Cricetulus griseus: one gene and its partners. The protein of the gene in region 1 interacts with the protein of each later gene in a pairwise test. Links are inferred from orthologs where the notes say so. Each region holds a gene or a part of one and is shown in the gene's direction. Other genes may lie near its edges.

Region 1 (4,523 bases):
CTATTTTTAATTTTTAAATGCTTAAACGTGTATGGGTGGGTGTTTTCATCTGCATGCATGTTTATGCCGTATATGGAGGCCTGGCCTGGTGCTGACAAAGCTAGAAAAAGGCATTGGGTACTCTGGGACTGGAGTTACAGGTTAGGTGTGAATGAGTATGTGGGTGTTGGGAATCAAACCCGAGTTCTCTGGAAGAACAACCAGTGCTCCTTGGCCGCTGGGCCATCTCTAGTCGCCTCATTACTAACTATAGAAAAGATTCTTTTTTTTTTTTTAAATAAAGACTTCCTAGATTTTTTAAAAGATTTATTTATTTATCATGTATACAGTGCATGCCAGAAGAGGGCACCATATCACAATACAGATGGTTATGAGCCACCATGTGGTTGCTGGGAATTGAACTCAGAACCTCTGGAAGAACAGTCAGTGCTCTTAAACCCTGAGCCATCTCTCCAGCCCCTAAGAAAAGATTCTTTTTTTTTTAATAGATTTTATTTATTATGTATACAACATTCTGCTTCCATGTATATCTGCACACCAGAAGAGGGCACCAGATCTCATAAGGGATGGTGAGCCACCATGTGGTTGCTGGGAATTGAACTCAGGACTTCTGGAAGAGCAGTCAGTGCTCTTAACCTCTGAGCCATCTCTCCAGTCCGAAAAGATTCTTTTACTAACGTCTTATACTGTGAAAGGTTATTGATTTATTTAGAATTTTCATTTTTGCCGGGGGTTGGGGGGCGTGGTGGCACATGCCTCTAACGCAGCAGAGTCTAGAATAGTCTACAGAGTTCCAGGACAGGCTCCAAAGCTACACAGAGAAACTCTGTATCGGAAAAACACACACAACAATTATTTTTTCAATTTTACTCTTTTTACTTATATATCCGTAATCCACACTTAATGCCTGTGCAAGAAGGTCGTGGTAGTCAAAGAATTTTAGGTCTTTCTGTGACGAAAGGCAAATAGTTAATAGGTTGGAGGTAGCTCCTTCTGCCTATAACTTCAAACTTAAAAACTTTCAACATTTTAGTCATCTACAGCTCTTAAAACTGTCCTAGAGCTGGGGGCAGAGGTAGGAGACTCTATGTGAGTTCGAGGCCAGGCTGATCTACATAGTTCTAGAGCGGCCAGGGTTGCTCAAAAAACAAAAATAAAAACAAAAAATATGTGTTCTAAGGGGTCGTCTTTTCGTTGTGGTCCTAAATCAAGGTCATGAGTGTGCTGGCAGCAAACAAGAGAAGGTAATAAAAATATTATACCGGCGATTCCCTATATTTAGGGACGGTTAGTAAGGTTGGGAGCAGACAAAAGAACTTGGTTTAGCTCGGAGAAGCGCGCAAGGTGTCCGAGAGGGAGGAGTCTAGGATGTCGGTTTGACCCCAAACATTCAGCCTGGTGGCGATGCCCTGGTCTCCCTAGGGGGCTGAGGCAGCCGGCCGGGTCTCCCAGCGGCAGAACACACAGTCGTTCTCTTGCTCCGGGCAAGCAATTTTACAGGTCAGACGCCCCAAGGCCTTTCCCCAAGGCGTTTTCCCGCCTCCTTTTCCCGTCTTCCCAAAGTCTCCTTTGCGCGCAGCGGAAGTGACGCAATACGTAGCGGAAGTCCCTGCAGCCGCGGTGTTGTGCTGTGGGGAAGAGACAGATTTGTAAACCTCAGAGTGAGGTTCTGCCTGCCGGAGGCCGCTGTGGTGCGGAGACCCCCGGGCGAAGCCACCATCACCATGTCTGACCAGGTACTGGGCCAGGGCATCGGGGCTCAGAGCTGTCGGCCGCTGGCTGGGCCCGGGGACCGCGGCGCGGGGGAGGGGACGCAGCTGGGGGAGGGGGCTGCTGCTGGGGAGGGGGCCGCGAGGGACGCGGAGCGCCCGGCCGAGTCGGGCCCAGCCGCCCGGGACCGCGGGGCTCCGGGGAACACCCGCCCTCCGCCGCCTTCCCCGCGCCCCCCTCCCGCTGCCCCGCGCCGCGGCTCTCTCGACGGCTCCCAGGTTTCTCGCGGGTCCGCCGGGGGCCCAGGCCCGCTCCTCTGTCCCCGAGAGCAACCTAAGAGAAATCGACCGTTTCCCTTCAGAGGACCGATGGCAGAAACAGGGCCCCAGGCCTAGTTATGTAACGGGAGGGAATCCCTGACTGGGAGGGTAGGTAGCCCCGAAAAGCTGCTCCACTCCACTTTGGGTTCTTGGTCTCGGAGTGGGGGGCGGAGAGGAAGCCTGGCCTGAGGTTCCTGGGACCCAGAAGACGCTGCTTTCCGTTGTGTTTGCCGGGAGGGCCTGTCCGCCTCTGCTCCCTTCTGCGTCTTTTTTTTTTTTTTTTTTTTCCATCTGGGGGGTGCGGATCGGTCGGCTCTTTTTCTGTACTTTCCATTTCTTACTCGGGATTGGTCCATCAACTCTCTAGTTGTAGGAGAGTTCAGAATAACCGAGAAACAAACGAAACTAGGTTAGAGTACCACCACCAACAAGCCATTTATTTCATCTGGGCATTAGCCTGCTTATGATTGTTACATTTTCAAAAATGGCACTTTTTTTTAACATAGTCAATTTTATACACGTAAACGACGTATCTTGGTTATATGCACCTCCATATCACCCTCTTCCAGGTGATATTTTTGAGGAAAATAGAAAAACTGAATATTTACAGCTGCAGAATGTTTACAGAAAGCTGCCAATTAATAGTAAAATGCTGTGTCTCCGTATTAATGTTAAGAATTTGCATGGTATTGGCATTCAAATTAGGAATACTGCCACCTTAATTTCCTTCATCCCATTTTTGTTTACCACGTTTGTGGCTAGTTTTAATACATAGGATTTTTATCTGTTTTTCCTTTTGTTTGCTTAGAGGACTGAATTTTCAAATTTTTTTTGACGTTTGTCTATAATGATAATTATTCAGTAAACTTTTCATTCAGCACCACAGTGTAGTTGAACTGTTTTCTTTTAATTTAATCTTATTTATTTATTTATTTATTTATTTAATTGTTTTTCGATACAGGATTCTCTGTGTAGCCTTGGCTAACCTGGAACTGCTCTGTAGACCAGGCTGGCCTCAAACTCAGAGATTCCCAGCCTTTGCTTCCTGAGTGCTGGGATCAAAGGCATGCTTCCCCACCACCTGGATAATATGGTTCTATTTTTGTAGCCTATCCATAATGTAGATTAATTGTGGGGTAGATTTGTTTATAAATAATCTGGATTAATTCTGTTTAATCTGGATAGAAATTCGTTTATGAATATCTCTCCAGATAGTTCCGAGTAAGGGAGGAAAGATGAGCTGTAAATGCTTAGTTTCATCAGTCTTTTATTTTAGAAGGAACTAGAAGGCATGTCAGCCTGATGAAGGGCAACATACAGTTAGAAATTTTAAAATTATTTTTGCTCTAGTTTGAACTCACATCATTTAAGAATATGGAGAAAGGCTCTAAAGCTACACAGAGAAACCCTGTCTTGAAAAACTATTAAAAAAAAAAAAAGATTATGGAGAAAGGAAAAGAGAACCTAGGACACAGGCTGTTTTCAGGGGATCTGTGAAGCCACACTAGGGTGTAGTACTTGTTACTGGGCACTGAACTTAGGGCTCACATGTGTACATGCCAGACAAGCACTATACCACTGAGCTAGATCCGAATCTCTTATACTTAGTCTCACTATGTTGCCTAGGTTGTTCTTGAACTTCATTCTGTAGCACAAGGTGTCTTTGAACTCGGAATAAATACTCCTCCCTCACTTATCGTTGCAGAGTAGGGAGGATTAGAGTTATGCCATACCTGGCTAGTCCATGTGTGATTTGTTTATTTTTTTTTTTGTCCCGTGTTGTTCCCCCCCCCCCCCCCCAGGGTTTCTCTGTATTGCTTTGGAGGTTGTTCTGGAACTCTGCTCTGTAGACCAGGCTGGCCTCTGCCTCCCAAGTGCTGGGATTTTCTTTTGTTTTTGAGATAGGGTCTTACTATGTAACCTTGGCTGCCCTGGAACTCATTCTGTAGTTCAGGCTGGCCTGGAACTCACAGAGGTCTGCTTGCTTCTGTCCTCTGAGTGCTGGAGTGAAAGATGTGCATCACAATACCTGACAAACTTTTGTTTTGTTTTGTTTTGTTTTCAAGACAAGATTTCTTTGTAGCTTTGGAGCCTGTCCTGGAATTCACTTTGCCTGCTTCTGCCTCCCAAGTGCCACCACCACCTGGCCCAAAACAAGTCTTTTTAATTGAGCTACACAGTAAAGCAATATGCAAGAGTGTGAAATAGTGCTACTTTTAGAAATTTTGACTTGAAGAAAAAGTATGCTAACATTTTAGGGGTTATTTATTTTGTTTTCTAAGACAGAGTTTCTATGTGTAGCCCTGATTGTCCTGGAACTTGCTCTGCAGACCAGGCTGGCCTCAAACTCAGAGATCCTTTTGCCTCTGCCTTCCAAGTGCTGGGACAAAAAGTGTGTGCCACCATTGCCAGGCTGATGGGATTGTAAATAATTGAGAGTGTGTTACTAGATTTAGGAACAATTTATTGGTCTAGGCTGATTGACCTCATTAC
Region 2 (3,725 bases), about 290 Mb from region 1:
TGAGCTTCCTCAGGAATGCATTTTATTGCATGTAGTTTTCACTGAGCCAAAGGTTATCCTCTCAGTTCTGGCGTTCTTTGCCAGTGGGTCCTGCCAGTTCTTGTTGATTTGTGCCTGGGGATTCCACCCTTCTTTTTTGCCAGGAGGCTTACCTCACATGCTAATTTTGTAGCTTTGGATAAGTCCTCCTGACCTCACTCTCTACCCTGGCCATTCTAGCTCCTCCCTGAGCGCTTTTTGGGGAACTGAAGTTTAATGATACAACTTATAACCACTTCTTGCTGTTGAGGAAGGAATGTAGTTCCTTCCTGTGAGAGACCACAGAATTCTCTCTATTCATCATCTGATTGGAGAAGAGGACCCATACTCCTGTGGTAGGGATTGGCTGGGGTCTCCACATTAAAAGTAGTCTGGAGTTGCTGTGTCCTCAATGACTACAGAGGGTCCTGCATTCTGCAGGTCAGAGGGACTGGGAATAGATGCAAAGTTGTCAGGAAAGACACACAGACTTTTTTCTTTATTATTCTTTCTGTCCTTGTTCTACTCTATTCTTTTTCTGTTCTGTTCTTCTATCCTGATGTTTCCCTTCTGTGTCTTTCCTGATGTCTCTCTTCTCTGTCTTTATTCTTTTCCTTACAGCTCATATACCCCAGTGAAATCTTTCAAGCAATATAAAAATTACAGTGTGATTACATACTATTTTTTGCAAAATATTTTTTTTTTTTTTTGCCCCACCACCTGGGGCAGGGTGGTGGTGGTGGTGGTGGCAGTGGTGACAGTGGCAGTAAACACCTTTAATTCCAGCACTTTGGAGGCAGAGGCTGGCGGATCTCTGAGTTTGAGGCCAGCCCAGACTATGGACAGCTAGGGCTATTTCACAGAGAAACCCTGTCTCATAAAAACCAAAAAAAAATTATTTATTATGTGTATGGTACTCTGACATCTCTCCAGCCCCATGTTTAAGAGCACTGGCTGTTTTTACAGAGGTCCTGATTTCCAAGTCCCAGCAACTGTAAGATCCCCAGAAGCTCAGGCCCCAGGATCTCGGCCCAGGACCGTGGTCACCCCAATCACCAAGCGGATTTGAAATCTTGATGCAAACTGTATGAGGCTTTATTATAGTTTTGTAACGAGCTAACATTGGGGTTAGCTCGTGTCTTTCATTCACCCGCCATGGCGGATGGCTAGAAAAGACAGCTCGAAGCATCTGCATAGAGATCTTATAGGGCGGCGTAAGGGGAGTGTCTAGGGGTACGCACAGGCTCAGGATTGGTGTGCCTCCAAGCTTGGAGGGCTTGCCCTGTGTTGATTGGCCAACTGGTTGTTATGGCCCATAGGCCCTCCCAGGGTGGTTGCTATGCTCTGCGCCATTGCTGTGCACTTGTCTGTAAAGCACACCCAGAGCCATAAAGCATAGCACCACCAGCTAACTTCTGATTGGTTCCTTGCCACGAGGCAGGCATCTGACCTCTTAGTGACTAAGACAAGGTCAGACAAGCATGTGTTTGGCTGTTATGGCTGCCGAAATGGGGAGCTGGTCCCTTTATTCCTGGCGACCACTGAGAATCTATAAACACTGGCAAGTGTATCTTGTCAAATTCTGCCCCATGCCTTCAAGTGGAAGTGGCTCTTTGTTCTCCAAAATGTGGGGTGCTGTGTTTGCCGAATTAGTAGAGTGCTAGAATTATAGGATTATAGGTGTGTGTCCATCCCTAGTCCACACACACACACACATACACACACCACCACCACCACCACCACCACCACCACCACTACCACCACCATAAACGATGACAAGCTGTTGTGGTGTAGAAGTAATGGAAATGAGATAATATTGTTGCTGATCTTATTTTTCAGATTCTCTAGTTATGCCTCGGCCGGACAAGAATCACCAGTGGCTGTTCAATAGGAACTGCTTCCCTCTTGTGGATGTGGTGGTAGATCCTCATCTTGTCCGTCATCTCCGATCATTTCAGAAAGAGGGAATCATCTTTCTCTATGAGTGTGTGATGGGAATGAGGTAGGAAAATAACTGATAACAATTAGCTGTTTTGAGAAGAATCTGCACTATAAATGTTAGCTGGTAGGAAAAGCAACTTGTACTAAATATGTGCATTTTTCCACAGTGGTTCTTGGTGGAGCCTTGTGCTCCTTGTCCTGCTGAGAAGTAGACATTTAGGAGCAAGGACCTTAAGTAGCCTCTACCCCCACATTATCCATTTAATTTAGTCTTTTTATGGATATTATTTCACTGTTCCTCACAAAAACCCTGCAAGTTAGGTAGGGAAACTACCAGTTTCATTTTATGGACAATGATAAGAACAGAACTTTGCTTTCCCAACTATATGGCTAGTAAGAGGCAGTGTTAGATACAGATTATGGATTGTCAGCTTTTAGGTTGAAAGCTCTTTTCTCTAAACCTAAGATGTACCTCTGATATAAATATATGTGCATGAGCTGGGTGTTGTTGTTTCATGAATCCCAGCACTCGGGAGGCAGAGGCAGGTGAATCTCTGAGTTTGTGGCCAAGCTGGTCTACAGAGTGAGTTCCAGGACAGCCTCCAAAGCTACATAGAGAAACCCTATTTCAAAAAACCCCAAATAAACAAGCAAATAGATAAATAAATAAATGTACATATACTGTATGTTTACAGATACACACACACACACACACACACACACACACACACACACACACACACACACTTTTTTATGCTAGGGATTGAATCCAGGGCTTTGTACAAGCTTTTCTAACCTCACCAAGTTTTTTTTTCACTTAATCCTCACTTTCACATTGAACCAGCTATTTCCAGGCTTCAACAAAAGATCTAATTCCACAATATTCATGCTAAATTTATGCTTCTCTACTCACAAAGATGTGTGGATACTAAAAGTGTATTTGTTGGAAAGAACCATTCCTTTGACTTGAATCTCACAGCATAAGCAATGTGAAGGATGTTAATGGCCAAGGAAGTTGAGGAGAAATCAGTGGTATATCTCAGTTCCTCTCAGATCTCACTTCCATGAGGAGCTTCAGTTTAGATCCATCTGAAAGTGACACCTGGAGCTTTTCAAGAGCATCTAACTCTTATCAGTTTTTTAGTCCTCTTGGTGTGTGTGTGTGTGTTAATTATTGCGCCTTGAGTGCACATGTGCACGCACAAGGGTGCTCTTGAGCGTGTGCGCATCTGTGTATATGGACACAAGGACAATTTCAGGTGTCATTTCGTAGGTACCATCTACCTTGTGTTTTGAGATATGGCTTCTTGCTGATCTGGACTTGCCTATTTGGCAGACTGGCCTGTGAGCCCCCAGGGATCTGCCTGTCTCTGCCTCCACTGCCCTGGGATTACAAATGTGTCCCATAACGCCTAGCTCTTTACATGGGTTGTGAGATTGAATTTAGGTCTTCATTTATGCTGCAAATGGAACCATCTCCCCAGATGCTGCTTATAAGTCTTTATTTCTAATAGAACATAATTTAACAAACTATATTCATATTTTTAGTTATATCCTTAATTACATTGGACATTGTAACTTTTAAATATCATGTAATTATCTATAAAGAATCTCCTAGTGACTTTTCATTCTAAGTTATATTAATTGTACAATGTCAGACCTTTACCTAAGCTATTTTGGATGAGGATTCCATTGTCTGTCAGAAGTGATAAGTTCTTACTATAGAATATATGTGTTCTAAACAATTTCAGCTCAGATCTTGCTGA
Region 3 (4,475 bases), about 310 Mb from region 1:
ATAGGTGGAAATATAGCATCCAAATTGAGATTTTTAAAAAAATTATTTTTATTTTATGCACATTGGTGTTTTGCCTTCATGTATGTCTGTATGAGGGTGTCTGGTCCCCTGGAACAGGAGTTAGAGTCAGCCGTGAGCTGCCATGTGGGTGCTGGGAATTGAACCCAGGTCCTCCGGAAGAGCAGCAGTGTTTTTAACCACTGAACCATCTTTCCAGCCCCCAAATTTAAATGTTTTAAGTAAAATGGAAAATAATTTTGAAAGTTTGTTTATTTGAGATAGGGTCTCTCTATGTAGTCTTATTTGTTCTGGAACTTGCTGTATAGACCAGGCTGGCTTCAAATTTAGAGATCCACCTGCCTCTGCCTTTAGAGTACTAGGATTAAACGTGTATGCACTACCATGCCTGGCTTAATTGTGAGTTAACAAAATGTAAAGTATGCTTACAGTAATTTATTGTGTTAAATAGATGTTGAAACATTTTACAGTTTACTAAACATTTACTTGTTTTCCTAGGGTGATACAATTCTGGAGACTGGAGAAGTAATTCCGCCAATGAAAGATTTTCCTGATCAACATCATTAAAGAGCACTTAAAACTTAAAAGACTTGTGTAACAGCAAAAGTCTCTTCATATAGTTCGTATTTACTGAATCTGTTTCCTGGAAAAGTAACTAATAAAGCTTATTCTCAGAGTGTTGTTAATATTTCTTGAGACCGACAGTAAAAAAGACAAATACTAAAGAGCCATCAGCTACTTTTTTCCTGTCCGTTTTGATAAACAGGATGCAAAACACGTTTTAATCACGTGATAGGTTTGTTTACATACTGATGTGGCATGAGGTTATGAAGTGTTTGAAGCACTAGAATGAAAATCTATGATCTGGCCCTGTAGTGGTGGCACACGCCTTTAGTCCAAGCACTCAGGAGGCAGAGGCAGGCGGATCTCTGTGAGTTTGAGACCAGCTTGGTCTACAAGAGCCGGTTCCAGGATAGACTCCAAAGCTACACAGAGAAACCCTGTCTCGAAAAACAAAAAACAAACAAACAAAAAATCTATAACCTGATACAGAAAGAAAGGGCTGTTTGATCCATATGAAAAATTAGCATGCTAACGCGTATCACAAAAGACCATACACAATTTTGTATTGTGAATTTTACTTTTAAGTCTACATAGGTGCCATTTGAGGGACAAAACCAGGTTTTGCTGGGAACTACCAAAGTTCGTTCATTTCAAAGAATTTGTCTGGAAAAGCCTTCTGTAGCTGTCGTCGTGCAGCTACAGTTGATGCGTAGATGACGAATCCCCAGGAGAGCAAAACGATCACAAGTAGCAACTAAAAGAGGGGAGGAAAGGCGAAAAGAAAAATCAATGTGCTGGGTAGTTGGCCTGCTCAGGCCAGGTTACCAGCTAGCTACAGGTGGGAGCAGCCTGTCAGGCACTAGGACCCAGGCCTGAGGCCAGGGCCCGATAGCCATGACGTCAGGGGCGGAAAAGCGTGTCCTCCAGGAAGAGGCGGAGTCGGGGGCGGGGCGTAAACGCTCAATATAGGAATGGGTTTTGGAGTTCCGAGCTGTAGACGAACAGTCGGCCTTTGCCTCGCGGGCAGAGGGGTGCGGCGCCTGGGAGTTCCATCGTCCTCGCTACCTACCGCGGAGTAAATCCAGTCCAGGGTGCGGCGACTCACGGGCCTCATGGTAAGGGATCAGCAGGGGTGGGGTGGCGCGGACCTAGAGCTCGCTCCCCGAAGCCGTCCGCCCCGCTGCAGCAGCCATCTTTCCGCGGTTCCCGGCGCGCTTCCGCCCGAAGTTGGGGCGCGTCACGTGATCCGGGCCTAGCCCGCCTTTCAGGCAGCGGAGGAAATAAAAAATTTTAAAATCGCGCTTTTTTTGCGCTTAGATGGACATTCCTCAGTCCCCTTTTCCTCCAGTCGCAGTGCCTTATAGCGCAGAATAGTGTGCCATCGTGTGCATGTGAGTTTATTTGAAAATAGGCTGTTAGAATTAAAGTTGCCGTCCCATACCCGCGTCCGTTTCCACAAGATGTGGATAAACGATTATATGTGTATGCTTGGCACGAACAGTATCATCCACTCCCTTATGTAACTGGAGAATCGTTGTAAACTGTTAGTTCGGCCATTCATCGAGAACGTCTAGTAAGAATGCTGTCGCTTACTACTGGGAATGTTTTTAGATATGTGGCATTTTTAAAAATGTGTTACCCGCATGGTGGACCTGCCACTCAGCAAGTGTCGACGGGATGTTTAATCGAGTCTAGGACCTCAGCAAATGTGAAATACCAAGTCCCAAGGAGAGCAGTTTGGCAGGCGGGCAGCTCGGCCTGAGGATGCTGGCGACGTCCGCCCAGGAGCCCTGGCTGGCGGAGCCCGGACTGCGCGGCTTCGGGCGCGGATGTCAGACACGGTTTTAGTCTGGATTGCAGGGGCGGGAAGGGGAAGCAGGCCGCTAGGAGACAGGCGATGGCTGGGGAAGTGCTCGACGCCTGGTGTTCATCCCAGCTAAAGAAGACATGGGGACGAAGGCTCTGTGGGACTCGGTCCGATTCTTGTTACACTCGAGAGGATTACAGGAACTCGTCGAAGTTCGTGGGGTTTCGGTTTTTCCGCGTTATTTGGCAGCGATGAGTTCGTGCCTTTCCGCCCCCACCCCCAAACACGCGCCCCCCGTGGTGGGGGGCTGGGCAGGGTCTGGCGTCTGCCCTAGGCTCCGCCCCCTGCGGGCTCCTTCCACGGCGCACGCGCCCGGAACGTGGGGGGTGGGGCCGCCGTTTGCTGGGCGGGCTCGGAGGGGGTGGAAGGATGGGCCTCGCCTTCTCTCCGCCCCCAAACTGCCTTTGGTGATGAGCGTTCTACGTCACAGGGGTCGCAGCCGCCGCCGCCGGGGTCTCCGCTGTCTCGCGAGGAGGGAGAAGCGCCCCCTCTGGCGCCTGCTGAAGAGGGGAGGCGCCGAAGCCGCCGGGTACGCCTTCGCGGATCCTGCCGCCACCGGCCGAGCTTACTGAACCGACGGGAGCTGGCCTCCAGCGGCCCGGCCGGGCCTGCCCCCGCGTCCTCGGAGGTGAGTCCGGTTTGGCGGGACCGGGAACGGGCCTCCGAAGGCCGGGGTCGCGATGTCGCTACGACACGGGGGCACCTGTGGATCGGTGGCGGTGGGCGAAGGAGGGGAGTGTCACACAGCGCCGCCCGAGGAGCGCGAGCTTGAATGAATACTGGAAAGTGCAGTGTGTCCCAGCAGAACTGCGGCCCCTGCTAGGAAGTGTGACCTTGGCGAGTCCTCAGCCCCTGGACCCAGTCTGTGAAATGGGAGTAGCATTTCAGTTGATCCTTGTTATGTAATGTATGTCGTGTGTCTGTCTTTCCATCCATGCCAGCCGTTTTCAGGGCAAGGAAACCACTAAGACAGTGAAGTTGTGCAGTATTAAACATGTGGGCGGGCAGGGTTTGTGTGCCTTGCAACTTCATCACACATCTAGTTAGTGCAGCTTTCCTTCTGGGCTGGTAATTCTGATTTGTAGACTGGAGAGGGGCAGTGAAGAAGTAAGCACAGGGATTTAAGACTGAAACTGGAAAGCGTTTTTTGGTGGGTAAGTTTCTAGATTAAGAAACAGAGAAACAGGTGCTTAAGATTTAAGCTACTAATAGGTAGAGATTGTTGTTTGGGAGGAATTGAGGGTTTGGATTTTTAGTACATGAAATGCAAAAGGAAAAGCCGCAGTTGGCGCACTCAATCATCTTATCTGGAGTGAGTGGCTTTCACGGGGAATAGTTCTCAAGCAAACCCCTAATGCCCCATTTTGGGGCAGGGACTCTTGTAGCCAAGACTGTCCTGGAGTTCTTTTGTAGCAGAGGATGACCTTGATTTTCTGACTACTCTTGCCTTCCTCTTCCAGTGTGCTGGGAATGCAGGGTATTCCAGGGTGCCTGGTTCGGATAAATTATTTTTATACTGATATTTGAAATCTAGCTCCAGCCTTCAATCCCAGCGCTTGGGAGACAGGCAGGCTAGTCCCTGAGTTCGAGGCCAGTGTAGCTTAGAGTAAGTTCCAGGACAACAAGGGGTACACAGAGAAACCCTGTCTTGAAACCACCCCTCAAAATAAGAATTAAGTTTGGTCACTTATGTCCTATAACTTTTAGAATTGATTACTCAGACTTACAAATAGAACCCAGATGGCTTTTAACAGCCATTGTTCTTGTTTGTCTACATCTACTTGTGAATGTTATTAACCACTTTGCTTAGATACATTAGGTATATAATTGTTATTTATTACTATTGACTATTTTTGGAAACCTATCAGTTATTGATGATGGTCACTATCAAAATCAAACTTTTCCATAACTTATGCTGCTATGTTGAGTTCTTACTGTTCATCAAGCACATGAATTATATCCCTTCACATAACTTTTTTTGTCCTCTTTCAAATGAGTGCTGGTTGCCAGGCGGTGGTGGCACACA
Region 4 (3,922 bases), on another chromosome or scaffold:
TGAAGCAAAGAAAAGTTTCTTTTATCATGGCTTCCTTCAGCTCACAGTGTTCGGCCTTGAGGCTTTGGAGCCTGGGCTGAGGTTGAGCTTGGTGATCAGAGCACACAGTGGGGCAAGGCTGCTCATCTCATAGCAGCTGAGAGGCAGAAAGGGTGTGGAGTGGGGTCAAAGGCAAGCAACCAGTCCTCAGGTCCCAAAATACTGAGGATCCAGCCTTCACCACATGGACCCTGACAGGACGCTCCAGATCCAAACTGTAGGTCTCTCTGTGCTACAGTCCCACCAGCAAACACAACGATAAACTCAGTTCACTGACAGCTGCCACCTACTAAGTGCTCACCATTCAGGGAGAAGTACTTGACTCTTAATCCCCAAAAGTAAGAGGTGGTATGATCTCCCTGTCTGTGGGCCACAAAAGTGAAAATGGTTTGTTTGTGTTACGTCATTAGTCAGTGACTGGAATGGAATTTATACTCTGACCATCACTGCCTTTTCATTTTTTTTTTTTTAACTGTTGATTGACTGTGGAATCCAGGCTCTTGCATGATGTGTGTCATGCCTCTACCATGGAGCACACACAGAGACCTGCCTGCCTCAGTCTCCTGAGTGCTGCATGTGTCACCACGGCTGGCATTTAAAAAAATACTTTTAAAATATTTATTTTTATTTTATGTGTATGAGCGTTTTGCCAGCATGTATATATGTGTACCATGTACATGCCTGGCACTCTCAGAGGCCAAAAGAGAGCATCAGGTCCACTGGGATCGGAGTTACAGATGGTTGTGAACTGCTGTGTGGGACTGTGACTACTTTAGACTTCTCTACACACAGCCTACTTGCCTGTTCCCTTCCTCTCTCCTTCCTTTCCTCTCTCCATTCTTTCTCAGCAGGGTCTCTCCTGTTGCCCAGGCTGACCCTGACCTCGGTATGTGGCTAAGGATAGCCTTGAATTGATCCTCTTGCCCCTGCCTCCCAAGTGCTGAGATTGCACGCACACACTACCGGAACTCCTTGCTGTCAATACAGTCTTAGCAAGATCTCTTCAACTTGTAAAATGAAGTGGTTGCGTGGGGAACTGTTTCATTCTTCTGCATCAGTTCTCTAGTCGGGTTCCACTGTACTAAGAGATAGCAAAAATGATGGCAGAGCAAAGAGCTCCCACAGTCTTGCTATTCACCAGTATTGCCTCTCCTTCCAGCTGCAAAAAAAATCAGGATTGTTTCAAGTTGTGCCTACCTCCAACTGGAAATGTCACAGACCCCCAGGACCCAGGTGAGGAGGAGTGGCCTGGTGAGCTTGCTCACGGGCTCACCGGCTGGCTGCCTGACTCCCTAGCCTGCCCTCTGCCCTCCCCAGTCTCTGCTGCTACCTCATACTGAGCATCCTCTCTGCTACTCTGCAGGTACCCCAGTGTTATTGCCCCTGGTTATCTTCCTCGGGCTTTGCCTTTTATCCTTCATCTTCATCAGTTTAATGTGCCAGTACCCGCGGTGGAAGCCCAAGCCCAAGGTCTACTCCATCAGTGAGTGTGGGGTGTGTTGGTGGAGGTGTGGGAGGTGTGGGAAGATGGCGGGAGATGAGGCGTGGCCCCTTTGTTCATGGCTAAGATCCTGGATGACAGGAGGGAAGCCATACTGTATCAGTAATTCTCTTGTCCCTGGGGCCACATAGACCCTGAGGCATGACACCACAAGTCCCCAAGGCCAGGGTGCTGGTGTTGAGAGGGAAGTGAAATTCATGATGCTTTCTTTCTTTTTTTTTTTTTTTTTTTTCAGCACCTGACAAAGAGGTGAGAGGGAAACTCCAACTTCAACTTTCAAACTCCTGATACCCAGATTACTTGGACTGGGGTGGTGGGCTCCCTTAGTTCCTCTACCTCCACCCCCATAAGGAATCAAAAGCCCGGAGGGGCTCTTTTTCTTCCCCCACTAATATGCTGCCTTCTCTCTTTCAGGTGGAAAGCGTTGTTACTAAGCCCCTAACTCCAGCCCCCGCCCCAGCCCCAACCTTCAGCCCTACCCCTGGCTTCAACCCCACTCTGGGCTTCTGCTCCACCCCAGGCTTCAGTCCTGTCTCCAACACACCCATCACCCCGGGCCTCCCCTTCGACCCTAGTAACTGGCCCAACTTCAGGGTCGTGCCACCTCTAAGGGAGGTGGACCCAACTCAGGGAGCTGACCCTGTTCTCAACGCATCCCTCCCCTTCGCGTCCCACACCTTGCCGATCCCCACCCCTGTTAAGAAATGGGAGGACTGTGCCCACCCGCAGCGACCTGACGGTGAGTTTGGGCTCCCAGCAGCGATGGGGACTCTACTCCTGCAAGGAGTCGGGCAGGGCGGAGGCCAAGACGGCAGGGCTGCCGCTGAAGGCACACGGTCCTTGTCCCCAGCTGCAGACCCCGCGACGCTATATGCGGTGGTGGATGGCGTGCCTCCCTCGCGCTGGAAGGAGTTCATGCGGCTCCTGGGGCTGAGTGAGCACGAGATCGAGCGGCTGGAGCTGCAGAACGGGCGCTGCATGCGCGAGGCCCAGTACAGCATGCTGGAAGCCTGGCGGCGGCGCACACCTCGCCACGAGGCCACGCTGGACGTACTGGGCCAGGTGCTTTGCGACATGAACCTGCGGGGCTGCCTGGAGAACATCCAGGAGGCGCTCGGAAGCTCCGCCTCCTCGTCTGCGCCCTGCCTCCCGCGGTGAGGCCACACCCCGCCTCTAGGGAGGGACTTCAGGACAGTCCTGGCAAGAAGAAGCTCTGATGCCCTTTGGGCCTCCTCTTTGGACGAAAAGGAGGGAAGGGCATTGAAAGGGGCAGAGCCGAGCTAGCGGCCGCTTCCTTGGTGCTACGCCACTTGGTGTACATAGCTTTTCTCAGCTAACGAGGAACGCCCCAGAGCCAACTACTTGTGCGGGGCAGCAATATGTGCCATCTGCCTGCTCCCAGCAGGCTAAGGGTGCCAAAAGCCAGAACAGGTGATTGTAGAGGAAAGGGACACTATATCTCATGCCCACTTGGGGATGCACAGGACTCAAGCAAGGCTCCTCGGGACCTCCCCAGTTGGTTCCTGGGCCTTTTTCACAGTAGGTAAGCAATATTTGTATCAATTATATCACACTAAGGGAAACTCGGCTTCCCTTTGCTCCCTGCCTGGACAAACACAGCTGAACTGTCTAAGATAGGGGCAAGCACAGAACAATGGGGTCTCTAGCTGGAGCCGTGAACTCTTGTAAATACACTAAAAGTCTAAAAATGACCTCCGAGCTTGGAGAGGCTGGGCAGAGCCCAGGACCCGAGGAGAGGAGTGGCTTGGCAAATCCAGCCGTGCTGCCAGTTTACAGAGTAGACTGTGCAAGCATCCCCGCCCCGTGGGTGCCCATGCGTCCCTTCTCCCACCCTCATCCACTATGGACCAATAGCCATGTTTCCGAGCAGCTTTATGTGGGGCTCAGAGATGTGTCTGTGAGACACAAATGTACAGTTCTTGACCTCAGGGCCCCCAGAGCAGGAGGCGGGTGCCTGGGTCAGGCTTGGTTTGAAGTGGGTCCTTGAGGTAGAGTCCAGGGGGAGGGTGGTGACCAGCACTCTTGGGGAGACAATTCCTCTAGGAGATGTGACACTGGGCCTCGGCGTTCCTCACGCTTCTCTGTAAAGGAAGGAGACAGATGCATTAGGTCAAGGTCAAACGGCAGAGTGGGGTGACAGCTGAAGCTGAGTGCCCTCCCTGTGTTGGTCCCTGCTCTGCACTGCCTTCCTTAGAACAGCCCCTCCCTCACGTCACACTGCCCTTTTATGCCACAGTAGTTTCCCTTCTGCACTCACGATGTGGACAGGGGGGTGTCCAGCTGTATGATGTGGGTCCCCCTCATTCTCTGTAGCTGGGCTCGAGTCAACTTCCGGGGCTTGCCATCCCCAGGTTCCGAGGC
Region 5 (4,200 bases), about 320 Mb from region 1:
TTTTTCTAATAATGTAGAAGGCTGACAGCTTTGGCTCTTAATATATTCAATGAAAGTTAGCAAAAAGATTTACAGTCACACTCATCTATCAGAGATGTCAGTACCTAACCAATTGGTTATTTGTAGGGCTACATAGATTTTTTGGGGAGTGGGGTAGGGTGTGGTATAGTAGACCAGGCTGGCCTTAAACTCACAGAGATCCACCTGCCTCTGCCTGGGATTAAAGGCGTGTGCCCCACCGCCCATGGATTTACTGTTTTTTGTTTGTTTGTTTTTTGTTGTTGTCGACGTCGGGTTTTGTTTCATTTTGATTGGGAAAGCTCAGACTGTCTTTGAATGCTTTCGGTAGCCAAGGATGAACTTGAACTCTTTTATTTATATTTTCCTGCCTCCTGAATGCTAGGGTTACAAGCTTATCACTACATAGGTATAAGTGGCGTTAAGGAATGAACCCAGGGCCTCCAGCACGGTAGGCAAACACTCTACCAAATGAACTACATCTCCCGCCCCATAATTAAACATGTTTTAAATGTGTGGCCAGGGGAATCAGTGCTGGAAGCGGCTAACATGGTCTCGTAGTAGTATCCAGAAGGAACACCACTGACGCCACCTTGCAGAAGTGCAACTCTTCAAGGTTCACAAAGGGTTAAAAAGGCGGAAGCACCACAGCATGCCCTTTACAGCCTTAGGGTAGAAAAGCCCTCAAGTCACCTGTCACATGGAGTGGGGGAGCGGACGACAAAAACAAAAGCCAGACCCTCTCTAAAAAGCCTTTTCCCACGGTGGCGTTCCCAGGATCCCTCTCCGAAGTCACCTACCAAGCCTGAATCTTCTACTGACCGAGACCTCAACCCGAAAGTGTCCCAAACCTGCTCTGCGGCCACGTGCTACTACCAGGGCGTCACCCAGCGCGAGGAAAGAGGCGGCCCCTGTCGACCCGTCCAAGGTATCGTGGGAATTGTAGTTTTTTTCCTGTCCTTCGAAAGTGAGTTCACACTTTTGCCCTGCAAGGATCATCTCTTCCGCCTAACTCAGTAAGTTAAAATATGCACCATAATTTTTTTTCACCCGAGATATTTTTCGAAAGAAAGCATGCAGAAAAAGGAACAGAGCCAAACTTGAAGTTTACAGGCGGAGACACAAAGGGTTAATAGTTACTACGCATGCGCTAGGAGGACTCGCGGGTTGGGCGGAAGGACAGCTCCTCAGAGCTGAGTTTTCCCCGGAAGTGCCTCCTCACCTCTGGAGTCCGCGCGGATACTGCTTCCTTACCTCATTTGTCTTCGCCCCTCCCCGTTCCTCTACGTGTTTCGGTTCCTGGTTGGTGCTTCCTGGTCGCAGCCGCGGCAGTGAGTATGTGTGTGACGGACCCCGAGCGGTCCGCGACCGGGGACCCCTGCCCCGCCTCCGCCTCGCCCGCGGGGCTGTGGAACTAATGTGTGCCCCTCCCTGGCCTTCTCCTCCCCGTCCTGCGTGGCGCAGCGCTGCGCAGCTAATGGCCTCTCAGCTGCGCGCTGCCCCACGCGGCTCAGCGGCGGAGCTGGGCTTTCGCGGCTCCCTGGCCTGAGACCCGGGCCTAGGAAAGGCAGGGTGACGATGGCCTTCGCGGGCACTTCTTTTCTGTCTGCTTTTCCCCGCCGCTTCCCGTGGTTCCTCTGTCCTGGGGAAGCGGGTCAGTCTGTAAACGTGGAGGCCTCCTTTCGTCGCGGGGAGCCTGGCGCTCCAGGGTGCGCCCAGTCCCGGGCCGCCCTAAGCTTGTGCTGTCAAGTAGCCGCTGCTGGTGTGGACCACAAAGAATCTGGGAACTGTGCCCCATTCCTCTATATAACCAGTATACGCAGAGTATCTTTCCCAAGATAACCCTTTACTCTCACACCCCAACAGGAGACAGTTGTAGTCAACTTTAGGCGAGAGCTGCCTTTAACAGTGGGAAAACCATGGTGGGGAGTTGTCAGGCCTGAGTTCCAGCTGACGCTCAAAATACCTTTAGGCCAGAGTTTACCGGGATTTCAGGGTTGAATGAAGGAAATTTTTCGCCCGTTTTCTCTGAGCCTGTATTTCCCAAGTATAAAGCCATCCTTAATTTAATGACGAAGCTGCTTTAAAAAGCTCTTGCCTTCGTTTTGAACATTTGAACCTTAAATTGAAGCGTGTATATTTAAGACAGTGTTACGATTTGGGGACAGTTTAGTATTGTCATTCAAGGCAATCAGAAGATGGGTAAGGAACTGAGGAAGAATTAGGGATGAAAATTGAATAATAGCTACAAGGTTAACAGTGCATGGGAAAAGGACAACAGCTAATAGGGAAAGGTATTGTTTCCAGATAGGGTCCCAAGAGTGCTTGGAAGTAAGCCTAAGTAAATTTAGCATACTTTTCTTCTACGGAGACATGGCTGTAACATATTTGGATTCTTTACCTCGTTTAGTTGGAAAGTGATAGTAACATTTGAAAGATGGACAAAAATTTTAACTCCTGTGATTTTGTATCTTTTGTCATTTCCAGTAGCATACTAAAAGTTGTAATTCATAAACCTAAGTTGAGAATAAACTATGTATTAATCAGATTGTTCATTGATAACTCTGGATTTAAAAATCCAGTTGTGGAGCAGGTGCCCAGCTTCAGGTAGAGCACTGGCTTAGAATGCCCATAACCCTGGATACAATCCCCAGCACCACAATATGAGTGAAACCAAATCATGGATTTAAATCTACCTAAGATGGCCTATGGCATCCAGAAGGAAGAAATACTTTGGAAGGAAATTAAGAGCAAACTGTCCAGAATGACCATAGATAAACTTCTAAGGAGAACTATTGACTTTACCATCTTAGTAAATTTTGAAAATGTAACCTTTGTCTAGCTTAAAGAAATCCAGTGACTTAATCTGCCCCTACCCCTTTTTACTACAATGAGTGTTTAATGTTATTTCTTTAGATAAGCCTTATTCCCACTTTTGATATTTCAGATTTTAAAATATGATTAGTCTTCAGTAGTCATAGGGCTTTGATAAAGTCTTTTATTTACCTTTTGGGGATGGGGTACAGAGTGGTTGAGACAAGATCTCTTGTAGTCCAAGCTGACTTGAAATTTACTAAGTAGCCAACCTTGAACTCCCCATCTTTCTGCCTCCATCTCCCAAATGCTAGGATTACTTTGTGCCCCTGTGCACCACCACACGGGGCTTTGATAAAGTTTTTTTGAGTACCAGTTGAGGAGTTTCTTAGATAATAAATTTATGTTTAAATGTCTCCTTCTCCTAATTAAAATATCTTTCAAGTTTTATTCCTGTGGGAAGTAAATGGATATGTCAGATAAATTTAGGTGTTAGAACCAGTGCACATAATGGAATGTTTATTTGAATTTATTTATTTTAAAATTTGTGTTTTAAAATTTTAGTGATACTTGCCGTAGAGTCAAGAACATGTGAATCATCCTGGCTGTGTCTTAACTAACTGTCCAGCCTTGAGTAGGTCTCATCATGTCCTAGGATCTGTGTCTTCATATGTATATAAAGGGGGCTGTGTGAAGTAATCCAGCAGGTACCTTCTAGATTTAAGTGTTTGTCATAATAAACATGTCATGTTACCTAGTAAAGTATGCTGGGAGTCAAAATGAACAGAAGCTATGAAACCCTTCTGAGTCAAGGGATGTGTATATAGATATATGCATATATACATTACATTCATATCTGAGTATACTTTTAGAAAATTAAGTGAATTGATATAATTAAGGTTGTAACAAAACAAAACAGCTTGAGGCAAACCTTAAACCTGGCATCCATGAACTACATAAATAGAAGAGAGCATGTTATGCCAGAACACAATTTTCAAGTACAGAGGTACAAAATCCTCTTAACAGCCATAGGGGCTAAATTGTTAAATTCATTTTTCTACATTTCATGGAAAGAGATAAATCCTTAGACCCAAAGAAGTCAGTTTTTATTATGGCTCCGTAGTTTATTTTTGGCATACATTCACAGGTGTGCCTATGGCTCTATTCTTAATCCCTTTCCTTTGGGATGGCTCCAAGAGTAGTACAAATTTGTAACTCTGTAATTTAGCTCTTTAATTTTTTTTCTGTGCGGCCCTGGAATTAGGTTTTATCTTAAGTCCACACTGGATCCTCAGGATGGATCCACTGAGGATTTTGAAGGAAGCATAATTCCTTTGACTTCTTTTAGAATTAATTTACCTATTAAAT
Region 6 (4,276 bases), on another chromosome or scaffold:
ACCCCCGCCCCGGCCCATCATCCTCCAGCAGCCTGGGATTGCTGGGGCCCGGCTCCCGGGGTTCCGCAGGCCTTATCCCTACACACTTGGCTTGCACCTGTACCTCTGAACCCCGCGCGCCTCCCAGGCCCCAGTGCTTCCCTAAACCAACTCGGCCGGGCCTTCACGGCTACCACCGTGCCAGTCAGCAGGGGCAATGCCGGCAGCGCAGCTCCCATCCTGGGAACGCTGCGTGGGAGGGAGTTTGTGAGCACAGCCCAAATGCCACCTCTGTGCCTCACGGTAGGATGCCAGGAAGTTGCGTGACCCTCCCCCCATCGCTGCACTCTGGAGTCTCTTTCTGTTGATTCTTTCGTCCCCAGGCTCTCATCTGAAACTGCCACCACTGAAATCCTCCTGTGTCGGGGGGTGGGGGTTAGAAAGAGAGTGGGAGGAGAGTTCAAGCTTTGCCTTTGCACCCTCTGGATGGGACAGACTGGTGGAGGAGGGAGTTAGGGTTGAGGACACGTGCTGCGGTTCCTTAAACCACACCTGAGTCAGGCTAGAAGACTGTGAACAAGGCCTGTCCCTAGCTCTGCTCTTCAGTGGGCCAAAAAGGCAGAGGACTTTTGTTTGGGAACCAAGCAGATGACGTGGAAGTCAGGAGGGCACTGGGGCCCGAGGCTTGGGTCTAACTTCTTGTCTGTACTGTGAGATGAGGGGGTTAGGGGGTGTTGGCACCAAGGTAGGAAGAGGGGCTGGAACCGAGAGCAGTGCCTCGGATGAGCGGAGGAACAATGGCACACCACCTCCGGCCCTGCCAGCTTCCTGAAATACTAGTTGGACGGTCGCCCTGAACCACCCATGGGCCCTGCCCCACCCTGGCCCCAGCTCCCCGCGCCCCATCCTCCCTTATGTACCCAAGAGGGAGCCAATATTCCGTAGCAAGGGGGGAAGGAGCTGTCGTCTTGGTGCTGTTTACCCACTTCCTTCGAACAGGCGTGCGCCGTGACCTGTTGCTGAGGAAGGGGGATACAAAGGTTCCCCCGCGGCCGGCTGCAGGCTGCGGGCCCGCCTCCCCCGCGCGGCTCTGGGCACAGCGCTCTGCTGGGCTCGGCTCGGCGGCGCGGCAGGCCCCGCCCCCTTTCATGCAAAACCCTCTGGCGAGGCTGGGCTCCGGCGCAGGAGCCGGCGCTTGCTGATTGGCCGCCGGAAACCCATTTATTCCCTGACAGCCCCCATCACATGGATGGTTGTCTATTAACTTGTTCAAAAAAGTATCAGGAGTTGTCAAGGCAGAGAAGAGAGTGTTTGCAAAAAGGGAAAAGTACTTTGCTGCCTCTTTAAGACTAGGGCTGGGAGAAAGAAGAGGAGAAAGAAAGGAGAGAAGTTTGGAGCCCGAGGCTTAAGCCTTTCCAAAAACTAATCACAACAATCGCGGCGGCCCGAGGAGGAGAGCGTCTGTTTTTTCATCCCAATTGCACTTCGCCCGTCTCGAGCTCCGCTTCCCCCCAACTATTCTCCGCCCGATCTCCGCGCAGGCCGTGCACGCCGACACCCCCGCCCGCGGCCCCTGCAGCCCGGCCCCCGCGCGCGGCCCCCGCAGTCCCGGCCGGGCCGAGGGTCGGCGGCCGCCGGCGGGCCGCGCCCGCGCCCAGCGCCCGCATGTATAACATGATGGAGACGGAGCTGAAGCCGCCGGGCCCGCAGCAAGCTTCGGGGGGCGGCGGCGGAGGAGGCAACGCCACGGCGGCACCGACCGGCGGCAACCAGAAGAACAGCCCGGACCGCGTCAAGAGGCCCATGAACGCCTTCATGGTGTGGTCCCGGGGGCAGCGGCGTAAGATGGCCCAGGAGAACCCCAAGATGCACAACTCGGAGATCAGCAAGCGCCTTGGCGCCGAGTGGAAACTTTTGTCGGAGACCGAGAAGCGGCCGTTCATCGACGAGGCCAAGCGGCTGCGCGCTCTGCACATGAAGGAGCACCCGGATTATAAATACCGGCCGCGGCGGAAAACCAAGACGCTCATGAAGAAGGATAAGTACACGCTTCCCGGAGGGCTGCTGGCCCCGGGCGGGAACAGCATGGCGAGCGGGGTTGGGGTGGGCGCCGGCCTGGGCGCTGGTGTGAACCAGCGCATGGACAGCTACGCGCACATGAACGGCTGGAGCAATGGCAGCTACAGCATGATGCAGGAGCAGCTGGGCTACCCGCAACACCCGGGCCTCAACGCGCACGGCGCGGCGCAGATGCAGCCCATGCACCGCTACGACGTCAGCGCCCTGCAGTACAACTCCATGACCAGCTCTCAGACCTACATGAACGGCTCGCCCACCTACAGCATGTCCTACTCGCAGCAGGGCACCCCCGGTATGGCGCTGGGTTCCATGGGCTCGGTGGTCAAGTCCGAGGCCAGCTCCAGCCCCCCCGTGGTTACCTCTTCCTCCCACTCCAGGGCGCCCTGCCAGGCCGGGGACCTCCGGGACATGATCAGCATGTACCTCCCCGGCGCCGAGGTGCCGGAGCCCGCTGCTCCCAGTAGACTGCACATGGCCCAGCACTACCAGAGCGGCCCGGTGCCCGGCACGGCCATTAACGGCACACTCCCCCTGTCGCACATGTGAGGGCCGGAGCGCGAACTGAGAAAGGGAGAGATTTTCAAAGAGAAACAAGGGAATTGGGAGGGGTGCAAAAGAGGAGAGTAAGAAAAATCTGACATGCTCAAAGAAAGAAAAAAAATCTCATTACCCGCAGTCAAATGACAGCTGCGGAAAAGACCACCAATCCCATCCAAATTAACGCAAAAACCGTGTTGCCGACTAGAAAACTTTTATGAGAGATTTTGGGACTTCTTTTTGGGGGACTATTTTTGTACAGAGAAAACCTGAGGGCGGCCGGGAGGGAGGGGTAATCGGACCATGTATAGATCTGGAGAAAGAAACTACGCAAAACTTTTTTTTTTAAAAGTTCTAGTGGTATGTTAGGCGCTTCGCAGGGAGTTTGCAAAAGTCTTTACCAGTAATATTTAGAGCTAGACTCCGAGCGACGGAAAAAAAAGTTTTAATATTTGCAAGCAACTTTTGTACAGTATTTATCGAGATAAACATGGCAATCAAATGTCCATTGTTTATAAGCTGAGAATTTGCCAATATTTTTCGAGGAAAGGGTTCTTGCTGGGTTTTGATTCTGCAGCTTAAATTTAGGACCGTTACAAACAAGGAAGAAAGAAATTTATTCGGATTTGAACATTTTAGTTTTAAAATTGTACAAAAGGAAAACTTGAGAGCAAATACTGGCAAGACTATTTTCTTGGTCTTGTTTAAAAAGGGCAAATGTTCTAGATTGTACTAAATTTTTAACTTACTGTTAAAGGCAAAAAAAAAAAATGTCCATGCAGGTTGATATCGTTGGTAATTTATAAAAGCTTTTGTTCAGTCCCACCTTTCCATTTTGTTCAGATAAAAGAATATGGAATTACTGTGTTTGGAATATTTTCTTATGGTTTGTAATATTTCTGTAAATTTATTGTGATATTTTAAGTTTTTTTCCCCTTTTATTTTCCGTAGTTGTATTTTAAAAGATTCGGCTCTGTTATTGGAATCAGGCTGCCGAGAATCCATGTATATATTTGAACTAATACCACCATCCTTATAACAGCTACATTTTCAACTTAAGTTTTTACTCCATTATGCACAGTTTGAGATAAATAAATTTTTGAAATATGGACACTGGAATTATGCCTGAGTCTTTCATTTCTTTGGCTAGCAATACTTATACATAACTTGGGAAATTAGAAGACCATGCTGAGCCACCAGGCTTGACGTTACCAGCAATGCCTGTTAGCATTAACTTTAGAAGAAAAAGATGGCTGGAAAACTGAAATGCGCTGTCATTTCTAAAACAGAAACTAGAGACATATATTGTAAGTCCACGCCCTCCTTTCCTAAGCAGCGTGAATAAACGCGATGTGGGCTTAAGCTAGCTTGTACCACTTGTTGCCAGAAGGAGTCGATTCTGAAATTTTCATGTAGCTTAGCAGATGGGGTATTGAGCCAAATCAGAGCCAGGTTGGCTGGGTTTGTTTTCATTTTCTTTACAACACAATGGCCCTTTGAAATGTGGTTTATAGGGGAAAATGATGCTTCTTGTATCGGAATAATTACAAAGTAGACACGCCGAGTGTTCTGCTGGGTAGGTGCTTGGGTGACTCTAGCCCTGCCATTGTGTGAGGAAACAAGTGGTTTTCTGTCTTTGTTTCCTGACTTCATAAACTTTCTCCTCTACGTTTTCCTGTTT
Region 7 (4,203 bases), on another chromosome or scaffold:
CAGTTGTCATCCCGCTAACAACCGCCAGGGCGAGGCGCATCTCTCAGGTCTTTACTGGAGTCCTGGAAATCCGGCACCATGACATCCGTAGGTGTAGACGAGGAACAAAAGACCCTCGTGCCGCCCTCCCGCGGCTCCGCTCCGAACGCGCCCGGCGGGGCTCCCGGGCGAGGGTCGCTGCCCACGGGGCCACGGCGGGCAGGAGGAGCGGAGGGCGCGCGGTGGCCCGAGGCCCCGTCAACGTAGAGGACAGACGCCGGGCAGGCCCGGGAGCGCGCGCCCTGCCGGGCACCGACGGCCGAGCCCGCACAGCCCCGGACCTGGGGCGCGAGCCCGCTAGGGGGCCCGCGGCTTCCGGCGGCTGCACCTGGGCCCCGCACCGTCGTGTGGCCCCGCCGCAGCCTAGGCGCGCACGCCCTCAGCGGCCGAGCGCATGGTCGATGGTAGAGCGCGGTCCGGGCTGCTGCGGGCCAAGTTTCCCGGCCCCACGGGGCCCGGTGCTGATGGCACCAAGTTCTCCCAACAGATCCCACAAAATGGAGGACGACGTCTCCTCCCGCCGCAGCCATGGCGGAGGTGGGGGGCCGGCCATTCCCACGGGCGAGGCAAGGTGGAAGCGCCCGCGCGGCCGCCAGCGCGCCAGTGCCCTGCAGCCACGGCCCGGCCCGCCCCCTCGGCCCGCCGCAGGCACCGCGGGGCTCGCCCGTCTCCCGGGCCCTGGGAGGGGGGCGGGGGTCTGGACAGGGAGGACGCTGGGGCATCGAGGCCGCGCGCGTCTCTCCTCGGGCAGAGTCGCGGGGGACCGCGGCGACCGTCTGCAGGCCGAGGCCCGGTGGCCCGATCCCGGGCCCACGGGAAGCCTCGACGAAGATGCCCCGCCCCGAGGCCCGAACCGCGAGCCCTGTACTGCGGGCCTCGCCACTCGGGCTCCTGACCCGGGCGGACCCGGCGAGTGGGGGCGGGGCGGGGCGGGGGCACGAGGGGGAGGGAGGGAGAGGGAGGGAGGGAGGGCTGGCGAAGCCCGAGGCTGGCGGCAGGGGGGAGGGAACGGCAGGCCCGAGGGCGTGGCCCACATTTGACGGACAGCCGCTGCGACTACCTCACCGAGGAGGGTCGTGAAAGAAGGCCGGCAGAGCCAATGGACATGCCCGAGGCATTCCGGGCCGCCTTCGGCAGCAGCCAATGAGCGTGCGGAGGGCGGGGCGTCCCCGGGCTCCGCCGCGCCGCCGCCTCCTCTGCCTCCTCCTCACCAGCGCTAAAGCCGGGACTGGACCGAGCGGAATTGTGCGTGTCGCCGAAGGGGGGTGGGCCGGGGGAGGGGAGGTTCGTTCCGCGGAGCTGCAGCCAGAACCGGGTGAGGCTTATCCCCGCTGTCTTTCCTGTCGAGGGCCGCGGAGAGTGGGGGTGGCTGGGAGCAGCGCAGCCTCGGGAGGAGGAGACGGAGGTGGGTGAGGGCAGCGTCGGGAGCCTCCCACCGACCGGGTCTGAGACCGCGGTGGCGGATGTCGCCGCTGCTGCATTGCTGCTGCATCGCTGCTGCGTCGGGGCCTCGGGGCGCGTCGGGGGCCGCGCTCATGTCCCGGATGTCTTTGCGTGCGGCCCGAGGGAGTGCGCGAGCGCGGCGGGTGGGCTGGGTGGGGCGGACGCCTGGGCGGGGGCGGGGCACGCAGGGCGGGGCGGGGCGGCGGCTACCCGAGGTCGCGGGAGGTCGCGGGGTGTTTTCCTCGTTTTGTAGGCGGGTGAGGGGCCCGTTGGCCCTCCCGCCTGGTGGCTGCTTTCCCCATCTGCCCGATCGAGACCCCAAGTTTTCGGTGGTGACGGAGCCGCTTGAGTCCTGCGGCGTTTTCGCTTTTGCTCTTCTCCACCGAGCTGAGCAGCTTATATTCTTACGTGAGGCAATTTCTCCTGGCTGACTTGGTTGGTGCCTATCGCGGGCCTACGAGGCGTAGGAACCTTAGGTCCCGGGCAGGTGCTTGCCGCAATTGGGACCAGTTGTTGAACCGCTTCCCCCTTCTTGATACTGTTGTGGTGGTGGGGCGGTAACGCAGGGTGGGCTTGGGAGAAATAGGAATCCCTTACTGGCACTGGAGGACGCGTTTATCCTTCTGCAGAACTACTGGTAATAATGAAACTGGAAAGAATAGATCTTGGTCTGCTGTAGTATTTTAATAGTTGATCGCTATTTATTTGGAGAAGGTTGCTAGAAAAGCTCGGGACCGACTTCGCCTTGGTTTACTTCCTCCTCTGGTGTTCAGGGTTGAATGCTACCTCCTCCATTTGCTATTGGTGCTAAAGGGTGTTTTGTTTTGTCCTTGTACTCTAGGACTTTCAAGCCAATCTGGTGAAACATTTGGCAGAAATAAGGAAAACATCTCCATCGTGAGTCATTTTGCATAGCTTTCCTGTTTAAACTTACTAGGATACACTGTTCCATATGAGGTTTGCTCTCTTCTGTTATGTCAAGTTGCTGCTTGAGTGGTCTCTGCCCGGATAGTAGAGGCAGTGCCACCTGTGGGTACCACTAACATTTTTTTCTCTAGAACTCCTAAATAGTACTAAGCACCAATTCATTAAAATCCTGTGCACTTAATATTTTTGACCTCCTTTCCAATAGATATTTCTGTTGTTTTTTTTTTAAACTAGTAGTAACTATTTAAAGTAAGTTTTAAAATAAACGTTAAATACCTAAAAATTACTGGCAAATGTTTTAAGATTGAGGGAGAAAAAATTGAGTTCTTTTGGTTTGTAAAATATTTTATTTTATTTGTATAGGTGTTTTGCTGCTCGGGTGCAATGTTCAAGAACACCAGAAGAGGGCAGTAAATCCTTTAGAACTAGAGAGCAGGTTGGGAGCTGCACTGGAAGTGTGGGGACTTAAATCCTGGTCCCTTGGAAGAGCAGCCACTGAGCCATCTCTCCAGCCCTTGTGATTTTTCTTCCTCTTCTCTCTACCACCACCTCCTCCTCCTCCTCCTCCTCCTCCTCCTCCTCTTTTTTTTTTTTTTTTTTTTTTGGTTTTTCGAGACAGGGTTTCTCTGTGTAGCTTTGGAGCCTATCCTGGCACTTGCTCTGTAGACCAGGCTGGCCTCGAACTCACAGAGATCCACCTGCCTCTGCCTCCCGAGTGCTGGGATTAAAGGTGTGCGCCACCAACCCCGGCCCTATATAGTACTTGTTAACCCTATCTTTTTTATTTTTGAGAGAGAGAGTTGGATTCGCTGGAGCTGGAGTTCCAGGTATTTGCAAGTGGGATTAGTTGGGTGCTGGAATCAGAACTCTTCCTCTGGAAGAACAGCAAATGCTCTTAACTGTGAGCCATCTCTCCAGTATCCATCAGATGTGCCTTTTTAAAGTTAGGGTAGTGTCAGACTGTAGAATTCTCTGTCTAGTTTTTAAGAATGGATATTTGACTGGGTGTAGTGGCACATGCCTTTGATCCCTGTACTCAGGAGATAGAGGCAGGGGGAACTCTGAATTCAAGGCCAGACTGGACTATATAGAGAAACCCTGTTGGAGAGATGTGGTAGGGGGGAACCAGACACACAAAATTAAATAAACATTTTAAAAAATCATACAATTAAATAATACTAAATAAACATTTAAAAGAATTTAGACACTATAATATGGTGGGTTGTGACACATGCCTTTAATCCTAGCAGTTAGGAGTCAGAGGCAGGCAAATGTCTACAAAGTGTCAGGACAGCCAGGGCTATACAGGGAAACACTGTCTCAAAAAGAAAAAATACAATGGTTTTGATAAAGGTTTGCCAAAGGTGTTATGATCCACATGTTGCTGCTGCTTTAGAATTTCAAAGCCCTAGGGCATTGGTGGTGCACACCTTTAATCCCAGCACTTAGGAGGCAGAGGCAGGCAGATCTCTGTGAGTTCGAGGCCAGCCTGGTCTCCAGAGTGAGTGCCAGGATAGACTCCAAAGCTACACAGAGAAACCCTGTCTCTGAAAAACCAAAAAAAAAAAAAAAAGTAGTAGTAGTAGTTCAAAGCCTTGGGGCTAAAGAAATGGCTCAGACATTAAGAACATTTGCACTTGAATATTAACACCCACGTGGCAGCTAACAACTGTTTGTAACTCCAGTTCTAGGGGGATCTGACACCTTCATACAGAGACATACCTGTGAGCAAAACATCAATTCACATGAGATAAAAATAAATTATTTTTTAAAAAGAGTAATGAATTGGGGATT

Evidence for each region.
Region 2: the proteins of Sumo1 (region 1) and Rad54b interact in a two-hybrid assay, tested with the Homo sapiens proteins (2 studies listed by BioGRID and IntAct). The two-hybrid records come from large-scale screens. The link is inferred for Cricetulus griseus from reciprocal best matches to the Homo sapiens genes SUMO1 and RAD54B.
Region 3: the proteins of Sumo1 (region 1) and Topors interact in a two-hybrid assay, tested with the Homo sapiens proteins (2 studies listed by BioGRID). The link is inferred for Cricetulus griseus from reciprocal best matches to the Homo sapiens genes SUMO1 and TOPORS.
Region 4: the proteins of Sumo1 (region 1) and Tnfrsf1a interact in a two-hybrid assay, tested with the Homo sapiens proteins (2 studies listed by BioGRID). The link is inferred for Cricetulus griseus from reciprocal best matches to the Homo sapiens genes SUMO1 and TNFRSF1A.
Region 5: the proteins of Sumo1 (region 1) and Zcchc7 interact in binary tests that used the Homo sapiens proteins (3 or more experiments, as listed by UniProt). The link is inferred for Cricetulus griseus from reciprocal best matches to the Homo sapiens genes SUMO1 and ZCCHC7.
Region 6: the proteins of Sumo1 (region 1) and Sox2 interact in binary tests that used the Homo sapiens proteins (3 or more experiments, as listed by UniProt). The two-hybrid records come from large-scale screens. The link is inferred for Cricetulus griseus from reciprocal best matches to the Homo sapiens genes SUMO1 and SOX2.
Region 7: the proteins of Sumo1 (region 1) and Zmym5 interact in binary tests that used the Homo sapiens proteins (3 or more experiments, as listed by UniProt). The link is inferred for Cricetulus griseus from reciprocal best matches to the Homo sapiens genes SUMO1 and ZMYM5.

The regions. Positions count from the first base shown.
Region 1 is NC_048595.1:413,930,751-413,935,273, reverse strand, and holds the start of Sumo1 (small ubiquitin-related modifier 1), read left to right. Parts: upstream 1-1,579; 5' UTR 1,580-1,724; coding exon 1,725-1,736; intron 1,737-4,523. UniProt on the Homo sapiens protein: Ubiquitin-like protein that can be covalently attached to proteins as a monomer or a lysine-linked polymer.
Region 2 is NC_048595.1:125,719,898-125,723,622, forward strand, and holds part of Rad54b (DNA repair and recombination protein RAD54B), read left to right. Parts: intron 1-1,857; coding exon 1,858-2,020; intron 2,021-3,725. UniProt on the Homo sapiens protein: Involved in DNA repair and mitotic recombination. May play an active role in recombination processes in concert with other members of the RAD52 epistasis group.
Region 3 is NC_048595.1:102,285,996-102,290,470, forward strand, and holds the start of Topors (E3 ubiquitin-protein ligase Topors), read left to right. Parts: upstream 1-1,539; 5' UTR 1,540-1,651; coding exon of another isoform or gene 1,652-1,694; coding exon 1,695-1,697; exon of another isoform or gene 1,698-1,843; intron 1,844-2,221; exon of another isoform or gene 2,222-2,715; intron 2,716-2,879; coding exon 2,880-3,077; intron 3,078-4,475. Other genes in the region: Ndufb6 (NADH dehydrogenase [ubiquinone] 1 beta subcomplex subunit 6), read left to right, coding at 517-585; Smim27 (small integral membrane protein 27), read right to left, coding at 1,214-1,336, 1,652-1,696. UniProt on the Homo sapiens protein: Functions as an E3 ubiquitin-protein ligase and as an E3 SUMO1-protein ligase. Probable tumor suppressor involved in cell growth, cell proliferation and apoptosis that regulates p53/TP53 stability through ubiquitin-dependent degradation.
Region 4 is NC_048601.1:21,074,763-21,078,684, reverse strand, and holds the end of Tnfrsf1a (tumor necrosis factor receptor superfamily member 1A), read left to right. Parts: intron 1-1,198; coding exon 1,199-1,272; intron 1,273-1,402; coding exon 1,403-1,522; intron 1,523-1,775; coding exon 1,776-1,789; intron 1,790-1,954; coding exon 1,955-2,279; intron 2,280-2,390; coding exon 2,391-2,698; 3' UTR 2,699-3,252; downstream 3,253-3,922. Other genes in the region: Plekhg6 (pleckstrin homology domain-containing family G member 6), read right to left, coding at 3,633-3,642, 3,819-3,922.
Region 5 is NC_048595.1:98,697,358-98,701,557, reverse strand, and holds the start of Zcchc7 (zinc finger CCHC domain-containing protein 7), read left to right. Parts: upstream 1-1,234; 5' UTR 1,235-1,353; intron 1,354-4,200.
Region 6 is NW_023276806.1:114,823,220-114,827,495, reverse strand, and holds Sox2 (transcription factor SOX-2), read left to right. Parts: upstream 1-1,338; 5' UTR 1,339-1,644; coding exon 1,645-2,604; 3' UTR 2,605-4,245; downstream 4,246-4,276. UniProt on the Homo sapiens protein: Transcription factor that forms a trimeric complex with OCT4 on DNA and controls the expression of a number of genes involved in embryonic development such as YES1, FGF4, UTF1 and ZFP206. Binds to the proximal enhancer region of NANOG.
Region 7 is NW_023276807.1:211,870,927-211,875,129, reverse strand, and holds the start of Zmym5 (zinc finger MYM-type protein 5), read left to right. Parts: upstream 1-1,210; 5' UTR 1,211-1,284; exon of another isoform or gene 1,285-1,444; intron 1,445-1,714; exon of another isoform or gene 1,715-1,917; intron 1,918-2,323; 5' UTR 2,324-2,379; intron 2,380-2,772; exon of another isoform or gene 2,773-2,926; intron 2,927-3,063; exon of another isoform or gene 3,064-3,236; intron 3,237-4,203. UniProt on the Homo sapiens protein: Functions as a transcriptional regulator.